Linked DNA regions of Daphnia pulex. The main gene of each other region encodes a partner of the protein of the gene in region 2 in a complex. Links are inferred from orthologs where the notes say so. Each region holds a gene or a part of one and is shown on either strand. Other genes may lie near its edges.

Region 1 (3,598 bases), on a different chromosome or scaffold from region 2:
GTTTAGAATGTCTTCAATGTTATCCCGTAGCCTTTCTGAATAGGCAGCAACAGCATCTTGCTCTTTTTCTAAGGCATTAAACTTCATTTCCTTCAGGGTATGATTCAGACATAGTTCTGTTATTTTATGTTTCTTCCCAGAAGGAGGTAGGGATGAGTCTACCGCAGCACAAGCAGCTGTAAAAACTTCATAGTGAACAAATTGACAAACAATATCCACAACATTTCATTACCTCGAAAAGTTGAACCAGAACCACCACCAGTAATACTTCTGTTAAGACTTGGTCTCCTCTTTATGAAGTCATCAATGTTGTTTCTTTCTCTTGGAAATTTCTCCGGAATGTGGTCTTTATTTGGCTCATTTAACATCTTTTTCCTCACAGTTTTCTGTAGTTGTCTCAATTAAACTTTGTTATTATTCCCTAATTTTGATTGTTAAAAAGTTAGAGCTAAATTAGCACCAACGCTAACAACTTCAACGGTTTCCAATTTGAAGTGCATCGTTCGAAACGCCACCTTGCGACAGATGACCTTACTGCATGTTATATTTTCCACACGCGCAGGAAAATGTCTAAAATCACAAAAAAAGTGACATGAACGTGTATTTTATTTACACATTTATCGATGTTTTTATATTTAGACGACTCTCTTTCATAGATAAAGTTTAATTAATTCATCACTGACGGCTGATGGAGTGAGAATTCCCAAATCTGTGAAAAGCAAAGTCAAATATCCTGGTGGCGTGTAATCAACTTGAGGATGCTGATCGAGAAGATTAGAATGATTGGATTCAATAATAGTTGACGAGAACTAAAAAAATTCAACACAAGTTTCAGCATTATGGAAAATTGGTTAAAAAATTTAACATACTTTCAGTTCTTGGGGTAAATCGCGTTGGTTCAGCGGGTAGAGACGGACAAATTTGAAGCTCTCAGCGAGAACGTAAAAGGGTTTGTGCATTTCCTTGGCACACAGCGCCATAGTATATGTTCCAATCTATTTCAATAAATTTTTCAATTTTTTTAAATAGTCAAATAAATATATTTTATCCGTACCTTATTGATAATGCCTCCGCTTTCAACAACACCTTCAGCTCCAACAAGCACTAAATCCACTGATTCCATGACATAACCCATGGCCGAATCCAAAATGAGAGTCGAACCAATACTGTGTTTCAATAGCTCGTCTCTCATAGCGACACCACTTAGATCCGGGTGAGATTCAGTGATGAAAACATGGAAACGTTTTTTGGATATAACAGCTGCTTCAACTAGTGTTTGTAGAACCACTCTTGATTTGGAGTGAGTGAGGATTTTGTGTCCATCAAGAATAAAAGGAGCCCCTAGTCTTGCAATTTTAGGTCTAGCCTCTTGTAATTTCCTTAGAAAAATTTCTCCTCGTTTCTTCATAATCTCCTTGCAATCTTTGAAATTCTAAAAAGAATGTTTTATTTTAAATCTATTAAAAATTTATGATTCATATTTATAGACAACATACTGATTGTTCAAGAGAAGTAAGTGTGATAAACCGTTGAAACAGTTCACAGCCTGATTGAACTGATGTAATTGAGCATTCAGCTTTCTTCATTTCTTCTGTTGCTTTTCTCAGTTCTTCCGACAATCCACGAAGAGTTTCACCTGTGAATATGATAGTCTTTAATGTTGATAATGATTATGCTTATAGATATTATTTTGTTTTTACTAACCATCACCAAAGTTTTCCAATATATTCATTAATGTGCGGATAGCTGCAACAGCTGCTGAAACATCCGGCTCTTCTTTCACAATTTTTTGGAAAAAATCCAATACATTTCCTAAAAGCACATTGATTACATTAGTTTTTTTATTAACATTATTTAATAACTAAACCTACTTGTATTTTCCATTTTATACTTATATCTTTTTTGCGCACTAGTAAACTTTTTTCCTCTCTACTTAACTTGGAGTTTCAGCTAGAAGAGCAGCACAGCAGCTTGCCAGCTTGCCACCGTTCCAGCAGCAGACGACACAATGAAAAGTCAACACTCCAGTCAGTCAAAACACTTGAGTACTGTACTTGTTTCTGATTGGCCCTCACCGATTAGTCCCAGGGAAGGATCTGCCGAGAGCCCTAGATTGATATGTCCATTATGTCACACGCAACCGCAAACATTCATAAACTGCTGTTATCGTTTGATGAAAGAAGAATACTTAAGTCATTCTATTCTTTTCACATTCCGCGTTAAAAACAAAAATGTCGTCGTCAACGTTGCCATTCTTCATCGTGCATGCACACAGGTACGGGTAGGGTAGCACCGGTAGCACGACCGACGAGCGACGACCGCACGGCGCACGAGATATCTGTCGAAAGTGAAATAAACGTTCATTTTGCATTTTTTTTTTTATTTTTTTAACCATAGTTTATTTCAAGATTTTGTGAATTTGTCAGATGAAAACCACCCGAAACATTTTAGACAAGGTGCAATTTTAGGTGCTTTGCTTCAAAACAAAGTGGTGTGTAAATAAAAGTAAGATTATTGGAACTTTTTGTTGTCTTATCCATTCAATTAAACTAATTTAAACAATCATTCCTCTTTTTCATATTCCACATAGGAAGGAGAGCAGGATGTACGAGGAAACCAACCGCGCAGTGCTCGGCGCTCAGTTGGATTCATTTGAACTTGACCCCTTTCTTGAATTTCGCCGTAAAGCCAATATCTGATTAAAGGACAATTATAAAAGTTTTGAAAGGCAAAAATTTCTTGTTGGAAGTTGTTTTTATCATACTTTTTCCATCGAGTAACCGCCACCTTATCTCCAATCTGCAGAGAGATGCGTGTCTCGTCGGTGTATGGTGGCTGAAGACAAACCATAATGCCGAAACTAATAATAGGGAACCACCTTCCACTGTATGCTTTCTCTACTACGTATTCTACGCAGCGTTCCCTTTTAATCTTTTTCTGTTCAATTTGTTCAATCTGTCAAAAATGAATAAATAGCTATAAAAGGTAGAAAATCTATAGAACTATGCATAGGATTATACCGTGAAAGCGTATGGATGGCAATTGTCCCGGACTTTCCACTCGATGCCATCACCTTTAGGCTGGAAAGAGAAATTTATTACTTCAACCAGATTCTTTCGCCATCCTAAATTGTAGGGGTGAATGAAAGAGGGTTCATCGGTTCCTTCTCGACGATAAACAGCTTTTTCATGAACCCAGTCTTCAATGCCTGTTTGATTTCTTAAAACCACTTTCATCTATGAAAGAATCAATCACTTTTAGGTTAAATAAAGAACATATAATCCAAAGAAATTCAAACCTGGACAAAAAATAGAAAACCAACAGCAAACACTACTCCGGCTGCTAATCCTAAGGAAATCAGACTCATCACAAAAGGCCATAGTCCCAATATTATAAAAGGCACTTCTCGTAGATTTGAATGGTCGTAGTAATCAAATGTCTATTTTTAAACAATATGATTCGTTTTTAAATTGTTTGTAACAAGCATACAAATTTTAGATTTAGCCAACCGGGTGAAGAGCTCTGTACATGGTGCATGAAATTATTACGATGGCTTGGGCGCATCCAATAACAGCGGAAATGAGGAATGCTAACGAAA
Region 2 (3,699 bases):
GATTGGGCTGATTTTTGCTTCGATTTTTTGGACATTTTCCCCTATAGAGTCAAATTTGATTCGGCACTCGCCAGCAAAAGGGAACAAAAGAAACCGGGCAACCAGAAAACTAGATCCCGAACAGTTTAGACTGTTTTTTATTTGCCGCCTTACCACCACACAAACAGCAGCAAAGATATAGGTCAAGATATTAAACTTTTTTTTTTCTTTTTTTGGCCGGAAAACATCAAAATCAATTTGATTCCGACTCCATTGTTGTTTATAAATAAACGGGCTTGCTCCCGGTACTTAGACACCATCGAGCGTCCCGTGATTAAATTATCGCTTTATTCAATCAATGGTCTTGTATCCGACGCCTACAGGTTTGTCTTTATTTACTTTAGCTGTCACATTATTTCGCCGGCGATGTATTGATTAAGACGTAGGCACCAGGGCCCACCAGAAACGAACAAAAATAAGTTTCCCGACAATGTCTAATTTCGCTGCTCCAAATGTAGTAGGATGTGAAAAACATTCTAAAGAGGCGACAGCGTAAGAAGCCCATCATTCATTTAAAATTGTGTCAAGAGTAATCGTGAAAAACAAGTCACAATATATACTGTACGTATACGACGGAATGAATATAAATGCAGGAGCGAAATCCAACTTGGAAGTGTTACCAAGTTGTTACCAAGTTGAAATTCAGATTTTTCCTCTTTCACGACGAGGGGTTTTATGGCATTTTTCCATGTGGGATGATTCGGGTTTTATTTCCATTGTCTTTTTACCCACAGGTTCAGGTCAGATCTTCCCATTGTCTTTCTTCGTGTGTTCGCTGATCCAAGTTTTGTATATAGTTAAGCAGCACCTCTTGACAGCGTGTGGCCGCCCATTTTTACCGAGAAAGGTAGTGGTGCTGTTAGGTGAAAGCTCCCTCACCAAAAATTTTACTTCGACCTAATCAAAACTTGGCCGTAAATTGTTACGACGATCTTTGACGTAATATTATTATGTGGTTGATTCCAACGCCCCGGATACATATCAAAGTAAGACCCAAAAACATTAAACGTTAACGCGAAATCACTCTGAATTTATGGATGACATTTTGTCTTGACGTAGAGTGTACACTTGCACATTTTACGCAATCGGGATTGGCTATCGTTTTAGATTGGGTATTAAGGCAGTGCTGATTGTAATCGCACCAATAATCTTATTGGTTGAATTATCATAGATAACACAAATTTAAAGGTGTGCGCAACGACAATAAAAGATAACGAGTAAAAGCATAAAAGATGACGAATTTATCTACTTATCTTACACTCACTCTGTTATCAAACCAACCATAACCAGGGGTATGGTAGGGCCTATAGAGATATGGATATGCCATAAGCCCAGGCATAACCAACCATAACGAACCAGATCGCTTTTTCAGAGGCTTTCTTCGAAAGATGATGTACGTATTTGAGCGATCGGGCACTCGCGCAGTAGCAGTTGCAGTTGCAGACGAACTTTGTAAATAAACAATACGCTGCAAAATTCTCGTTTTCTCCAGTGAACTACTTCACTTTATTATCTGTCTTTAAACCAGTTATTTCAGAATAAATTATAGAAAATCAGTGTGAAAATGCCGAGTCTTGAAAGTGAAATTGAAGGTATAATTGAAACTTTCACCAACAATCTTAAGCAAAGGTATGATTGTTATAGGCCATAGAAGTAATGCTGGCTATTCCATCTCGTTATTGACATTCTGTGTTTCTTTTTATTCGTAGAAAGTTCAAAGGATCGAGAGACTTGGCCCTTAATTCCGTACAGCTTTGGAAAAAAATCATTGGTCAAATGAAATGGCAGAATGCAAGGTTTGTTAGTTTATCTCAAGTCCAGAATTCCTGTTCCAGTTATTAAGTGATTCAATTCAATCTGTAGGGAGCTTATGGACACCATAAAAAGAATAGGTAAAGATTTGGCAGAGACTGCACCTTCAGAAACAGTCATTGGCAACATGACAAGAAGAATGTTAAAGATTGTCAGGGATGAGTATGCCATGCTGCAGAAAGGAAAACAAGAAGAATCTGATTTGCAAGACTCACTTCAAAAAATTCTCACAGCAGATGAAAGTGATTCTGATTACACTAAAAACATCCCCTTGCTCAAACCAGCCATCATGGAGCACATTGGAGAGTTCCTTGCCGAATTAGAATCCAGGTTTGAGAATTTACCACATGTCTAGCTTCACAGCCTATTCAACTACCTTAATTTGTTTCCACAGTGAAATCGACATTTCCGCCCAGGCCCTAGAACACATTCACGCTAACGAAATCATCATGACTATTGGTTATTCTAAAACTGTCTCGGCGTTTCTGAAGTCAGCTGCGAAAAATCGTGTTTTCCAGGTCATCGTTGCTGAATGTGCTCCATTTTTCCACGTAGGCAGCGAATTTGAAAACGTTTATTTGCATAACACCTGTATATTTACTCCAGACTATTATTACAGGGACATCAATTGGCTGCAGATTTAGCCGAAGCTCGTATCTCTACTACCCTTATTCCGGATTCTGCCATTTTCGCAATGATGGCACGTGTGAATAAAGTAATCATCGGTACTCATTCTGTTATGGCCAACGGTGGTCTAAAAGCAGTGTGTGGCACTCATACCCTTGCACTGGCTGCAAAGCATTATTCGGTTCCGGTAATGGAATAAGTTTTGTAGGCCTACACTTTCAGCTAAAATAATTTATTTTTTATGATTTCAGTTCGTCGTATGTGCACCAATGTTTAAACTCTGTCCCGAATATGTCTGTAGCCTTGATCAAGATGGATTCAACCAGTTTGTGTCACCCGAGGAAGTATTGAACAACGACGAAGGCAAGCTCGTTTCCAAAGTGAACGTCTACAATCCAATTTTCGACTACGTACCTCCAGAGCTCGTCACACTCTTTATTTCAAATACGTAAGCGAATTATTTTTAAATAGTTTGAAGATAATGAAGAAGTATCTATTTTATAATCACACTTGTTTCTCTAGCGGAGGCAATGCACCGTCTTACATCTACCGACTCCTCAGTGAACTGTACCACCCTTTGGACGTGCAATTGTAATGTGGGAAAAAATGGCTTTGTATTAAAAAGGCCGAGATACATAAACACACAGCACTAAGAAAATTACGAACATGGAGTGAATTTTTGTTTCGTTTCAAAACTACAGTTGGGTTCTAAGTATTGGTCTTCTCTATCAGCAAGATTAAAAGAGTAAACACCAAAAGCACGAATCGATTGGTTAAAGCTTCATCAAGACACTGGATCGAAAGGAGAGAGTAAATTAAATAAGTAGTGAAGAGAACAGTCGATTCATCTTTCAGGTACGAGAAAGAGTTCTCAAAATAAAGTAGTGATGGAAATGGAGAAATATCATAATAAGCGAAAATAATACCGTTTTTCACTGAGCAATTACAAGGAAATGGAACAGCAGATTAGAAATTGACAGAATTGGAAGGATAGGTTATTGAGAGAGACAAAACTTTGGTGAATTCATTATGTTCATTTTCTTTTCAGCACTGCGAACTTGAAGAGGCCAGCTGCATCAAAGCAATCGCGCCAGTCCATTGTTTTTCGGCGTTTTGGAGTGCTCGCATTAAGGTGCTGTTATTGGGTTTATCTGGTGTGGACGTGTTTTTGGGTTGAAATACCCTGGGTGAAGCTATTATGACACTGGGTCGGTTCATGTT
Region 3 (4,219 bases), about 5.6 Mb from region 2:
ATCATTGATAGGACTGTAGATTTGATAACTCCTGTTGTCACTCAGTTGACCTATGAGGGTCTTATCGACGAATTCCATGGAATAAAACATAGTAAGAAAGTATTGTTAGCTTCTGAGTAAAACAATTATTTTACTTGCATTTTGTGGTTTCATTGTTATTTAGATACAGTCAAGCTTCCAGGAGAAAATTTTCAAGCCTCATCAAATGCGGGCCAGTCACCTCGCTCTGATGGTAGCTCTGTTAAATCTGTTGTTCTAAACTCGGCCGAAGAGCTTTACGCTGATTTGAGGTGAAATTTTTAATCAGACAAATTTTGCTTCCGACAGTTTTAAAGTTATTTATTTTCGCAGGGACAAGAACTTTTCAGCCGTGGGTACTGCACTCAGTCGCAAAGCTAAAGCTATTTCAGCTCAGTAGCCTGGATAACGCCATTGTTGCATTTGGAGGTGTTAAGGTTTCTGCATTCGCACGCGATAGTGGAGAAATATTCCTAGACTCCTTCGATGATTCGGTAATCATGGTTAGTTTAAACTCAATAATATTTCTCCAGCAGTTTTTTTCATCGGGATTTTTTTTTCTTGTGTATTCTCTTTAGATCAACCCGGATATACCTGATGAAAGGGAGCTGAGGGAGTGGCTTAAAGACAATCAGTAAACAAATCCTTTTTTACTGATTGTCTGAAGATCTTAATTACTTGACGTCCTTAAACATCGACTGCAGCTAATTGCCTCCATCTTTTTTCTCGAATTGTTGCCTCCATCTGTTTCCCTGAATTGTTGCCTTGCCTCAAACTTTTTTCCTAAAATATGGCTTCGATCTTGTAACCTGAACTGTTGCCTTTTTACCTCAGCCCTTGTGATGGAGAAATTGGGCCACTGTCTGAGTTTAACTCAAGAATTTCGTAAAATGATAAATGATAAAATAATAATAAATTTATTTCGTAAATGATAAAGAAAAAAAATCCAGGAAATTACAATAAACAAAATCTTACGAAATTCCTACATTTTAATTGTTTTGAAAATATAAGCAAAAGCTTTTAACTGATATCTTGCACGTTAATACCCGAGGGCGAACCTGGAAGGGTCTTGTTTCGTTATTTCTGATCTTACTTAACACATTTTTAGATATCGACAAAAATAAATCGTGGCTTAAAATTTGTATATTTTATCGGAGTAGAAGGAGGAGGAGCTTATTTGTTGGTAATTCAAGCAAGTCTAATAAGTAATAAGTCGCAGGATCCTGAAAAAAGGATAATAAACCGTGAATAATTGCAAATTGGCTCCTCCCTCTTTGTGGGCGGAGTTAAGCTTTCCATGGAGGTGTTTCCACGATTTTGGCCAAACCGCCTCAAACCCGCATCGTGCCCGCATTTTACCCACTGCATTTTGAGAATTTGAGCTAGTGTTTTAGTGTTTTGCTGTTTACAGCTGTTTACGAAACGTGTTTAATTTTGTCTACCGTGAGGTTAAATATCTGCTATTATTTTATTACGATTCATTAAATTAAGGTACCCGTACATACTTTCCGTTTGGTTCGATTTTTTTTAGTTAGAAATGTTTGTGTTGTGCGTTTCTGTAACACCGTTTGTGTTACCTTTCCATGTGCTAACAGATACAAAACGCATCATCCTTTTATTTTCTAATTCTCTCTATGTTTGCTATTTATTAGTTTATATTTGTATTCTAGTGTTCTTTAATCATGGAGTACCAAGCAGTAATAATGGCTGCTGGAAGGGGTTCACGTATGACAGATTTAACTCATGACCGTCCCAAGTGTCTATTACCAATATGCAACAGACCAATGATATGGTTTTCATTAAAAATGTTGGAAAATGCTGGTTTTGAAGGTATTTCAGTTTTTGTTTTGAATAAAGTTACTTTTATGTGACAAGGACTACTTTTTAGATGTCATAGTTGTTATCCATGAACAGTTTCGAGCTGAAGTTGCAGCTATTCCAAGCAAGTATGGTTTGAACATCAAACTGGATATAGCATGTCTTCCAAAAAATGAAGACTTTGGAACAGCTGATTCTCTTAGACTAGTCAAAGACCGAATCAAGGTATAAATCTTTAATAATGCAAGATTTTTATCACATATACTATACCTTTAAATCCAATCGAATTGCAGACTGATGTCCTGGTCATTAGTTGTGACTTGGTATGTGATATACCATTGCACAATGTGTTTGACTTACACAGAACTCATCAATCAAGTGTGACTGCACTTTTTAGCCAGTCCTCTCCAGAAGTAATGTCAACTGCAGTGCCTGGTCCCAAAACAAAATTCAAGCAAGGTATATCTTTCAGCATTCACTAGATTACTTTTAATAACAAAAAATGTATGATAGTATATTCATCAAATAATAATATAAAACTTCCCTTAAAATTTTAGAAAGGGACTTGGTTGGATTGGATCTGCAAACACCTCGTCTGGTTTTCTTAGTCTCAGAAGCAGATTTGACTTCAGAAAACGAGGAGGAACTCTCAATCCGAAAATCAGTGATGAAACATTTCCCACAGATAAGTGTTCAAGGTAACTTGCTTGACGCTCATCTCTACGTTATTAAGAAATGGGTCTGTGATTACATTGCCGAAAACCGGTAAGTCACACCGTTATTTAAATATATTACGCGTTAATGGATAAATCATAAAAACAAACAATTTTTTAACATAGGTCATTCACTATGCTGAAGGGTGAGGTCTTGCCTCATCTTGTGCGAAAACAGTTTATAAAAACTCAAAGGAAAAAAAACGAAAAAGAACTCCCCAATGCGGATGTCTCGGTCGTTTCTTTAAATACTACAAATCGAGGCACTATAAATAGAATTTGAAATCTCTACGTCTAAAGTCTAAATAGTATTATAATTTCTTTTTTTGTAAAGATATTTGCAGCTTCCTTGTTGATGTCGAAGAGGAAGAGAAAATCAGGAGCTACTCTGTTTGGAATGATCATCGTGGTGATTTGCGTGGCCCGTACCAAGACCATAATATCCGCTGTTTCGCTTATGTGGCCAAGGAAGGCTTTTGTCTACGTGCAAACTCGCTGAGCAACTATTGTGAGCTCAACCGACAAGTAAAGAAAGAAATTGTTAACTAGAATCGATCGACGATATTATTATTATTTAAAATGAAATTTAGGTTATTAAAAGATGGAATACAATGTTTCCTGATGAGGAAATCACACCACCCGTATCCAAAGCACAAGTAACGAAGACCCTTATAACTTTTAAATGTTGGATAAACATTATAACATTTTTTATAATATAGGTGGGAACTGATTGCCTTATTGGTGAAACGAGTCAGTTATCGGACAAGTGCTCTATTAAGCATTCGGTTATTGGTCAAGGTTGCAATATTGGAGAAAAAGTTAGGATTACCAATTGTATCATCATGGATAACGTTACGATCATGAAAGAGTAAGATGAGATTATTTATTTTTCTGCTACAACGTATATGAATTGTCTTCTTTTTAGAACAACTCTTCAAGGCAGCATTCTGATGGATAATTCGGTAATTGAGAATAGTTGCGATTTAAAAGACTGCATAGTGGGACATACCGTACATAGCAACTGTAAGTTATACTTTAAATGATAAACAGAAAAGGTTGCCATTCTCACGTTTCAATTCTTCGCACTTAGGCAAATCTACCAACGAAGTTTTGGTTGATGCTGATCGGCTCTTGGAAATATGAGTTTAAGTTATTTGAGATGTTTTTCTCAAATAACTAACTAATAAGTGGTGATAATCCTTCGGGCGATACCTTACAATTGAAAGGCGCTGTTTGCGTGGGCCGTTGGTATGCCTAAATTGCGAGACATCTCCTTGAATTTTGGTTGAAAGTATACAAACAATAAAATTTGCTAATTACATATCTAGTAATATTTTTTTAATTACGATTAAACTTGAACTGAAGAAGATGTATTAAAATTGTGCATCTAGTGATACATCCTTTTTTAACCGCGAAGCAGAAAAAATCTAACCCGAAGCTGAACGAGAATTTGTTTTTATTTCTTATTTAATGTTCTCGGTTGGTTCAACTTTTTCTTCTTAAAAAATAACGACGTCTATTTATTTACTTAAATCCGGATCGTCTATAGGCGTATAAGAATACCGCGACATGATTTAGATACAACTAACTATTTTTTAAATCTATGCGTAGTGTCTGTTTACTTACTGATTTATAATCCGTCTTCTTTTCAATTTACGCGCCGTGAAACA

The links.
Region 1: the proteins of translation initiation factor eIF-2B subunit beta-like (region 2) and translation initiation factor eIF-2B subunit alpha-like are in contact, whole or in part, in a cryo-EM structure (PDB 7F64), measured with the Homo sapiens proteins. The link is inferred for Daphnia pulex from reciprocal best matches to the Homo sapiens genes EIF2B2 and EIF2B1. Residues at the interface, in NP_055054.1 of Homo sapiens: Glu107, Ser108, Leu109, His110, Leu112, Leu113, Thr114, Ser115, Asn242, Phe278, Asn280, Glu281, Glu282, Ser334, Tyr337, Arg338; in NP_001405.1 of Homo sapiens: Leu71, Arg74, Phe75, Leu78, Arg96, Leu99, Phe100, Arg103, Lys110, Thr117, Phe118, Lys120, Ser232, Phe235, Leu283, Asp287, Leu288, Val290, Thr292, Ser294, Ala295, Asp298, Glu299, Leu300, Lys302, Leu303.
Region 3: translation initiation factor eIF-2B subunit beta-like (region 2) and translation initiation factor eIF-2B subunit gamma-like share a complex: the UniProt entries of both Homo sapiens proteins name them as parts of the translation initiation factor 2B (eIF2B) complex. The link is inferred for Daphnia pulex from reciprocal best matches to the Homo sapiens genes EIF2B2 and EIF2B3.

The regions. Positions count from the first base shown.
Region 1 is NC_060023.1:2,531,212-2,534,809, reverse strand, and holds translation initiation factor eIF-2B subunit alpha-like, read right to left. Parts: upstream 2,236-3,598; 5' UTR 1,885-2,235; coding exon 1,872-1,884; intron 1,813-1,871; coding exon 1,705-1,812; intron 1,637-1,704; coding exon 1,497-1,636; intron 1,433-1,496; coding exon 1,055-1,432; intron 996-1,054; coding exon 870-995; intron 810-869; coding exon 651-809; 3' UTR 584-650; downstream 1-583. Other genes in the region: uncharacterized protein LOC124198557, read right to left, coding at 1-176, 233-368; palmitoyltransferase ZDHHC6-like, read right to left, coding at 2,563-2,695, 2,765-2,955, 3,021-3,236, 3,299-3,439, 3,510-3,589.
Region 2 is NC_060019.1:5,860,650-5,864,348, reverse strand, and holds translation initiation factor eIF-2B subunit beta-like, read left to right. Parts: upstream 1-1,463; 5' UTR 1,464-1,603; coding exon 1,604-1,668; intron 1,669-1,748; coding exon 1,749-1,835; intron 1,836-1,902; coding exon 1,903-2,181; intron 2,182-2,245; coding exon 2,246-2,402; intron 2,403-2,470; coding exon 2,471-2,665; intron 2,666-2,729; coding exon 2,730-2,926; intron 2,927-3,000; coding exon 3,001-3,073; 3' UTR 3,074-3,139; downstream 3,140-3,699. Other genes in the region: asparagine-rich zinc finger protein AZF1-like, read right to left, coding at 3,523-3,699. UniProt on the Homo sapiens protein: Acts as a component of the translation initiation factor 2B (eIF2B) complex, which catalyzes the exchange of GDP for GTP on eukaryotic initiation factor 2 (eIF2) gamma subunit.
Region 3 is NC_060019.1:11,426,405-11,430,623, forward strand, and holds translation initiation factor eIF-2B subunit gamma-like, read left to right. Parts: upstream 1-1,351; 5' UTR 1,352-1,466; exon of another isoform or gene 1,467-1,509; intron 1,510-1,670; exon of another isoform or gene 1,671-1,688; 5' UTR 1,689-1,700; coding exon 1,701-1,848; intron 1,849-1,906; coding exon 1,907-2,061; intron 2,062-2,129; coding exon 2,130-2,295; intron 2,296-2,393; coding exon 2,394-2,601; intron 2,602-2,675; coding exon 2,676-2,812; intron 2,813-2,883; coding exon 2,884-3,074; intron 3,075-3,139; coding exon 3,140-3,205; intron 3,206-3,268; coding exon 3,269-3,417; intron 3,418-3,474; coding exon 3,475-3,572; intron 3,573-3,639; coding exon 3,640-3,692; 3' UTR 3,693-3,870; downstream 3,871-4,219. Other genes in the region: vacuolar protein sorting-associated protein 33A-like, read left to right, coding at 1-91, 164-290, 352-418. UniProt on the Homo sapiens protein: Acts as a component of the translation initiation factor 2B (eIF2B) complex, which catalyzes the exchange of GDP for GTP on the eukaryotic initiation factor 2 (eIF2) complex gamma subunit.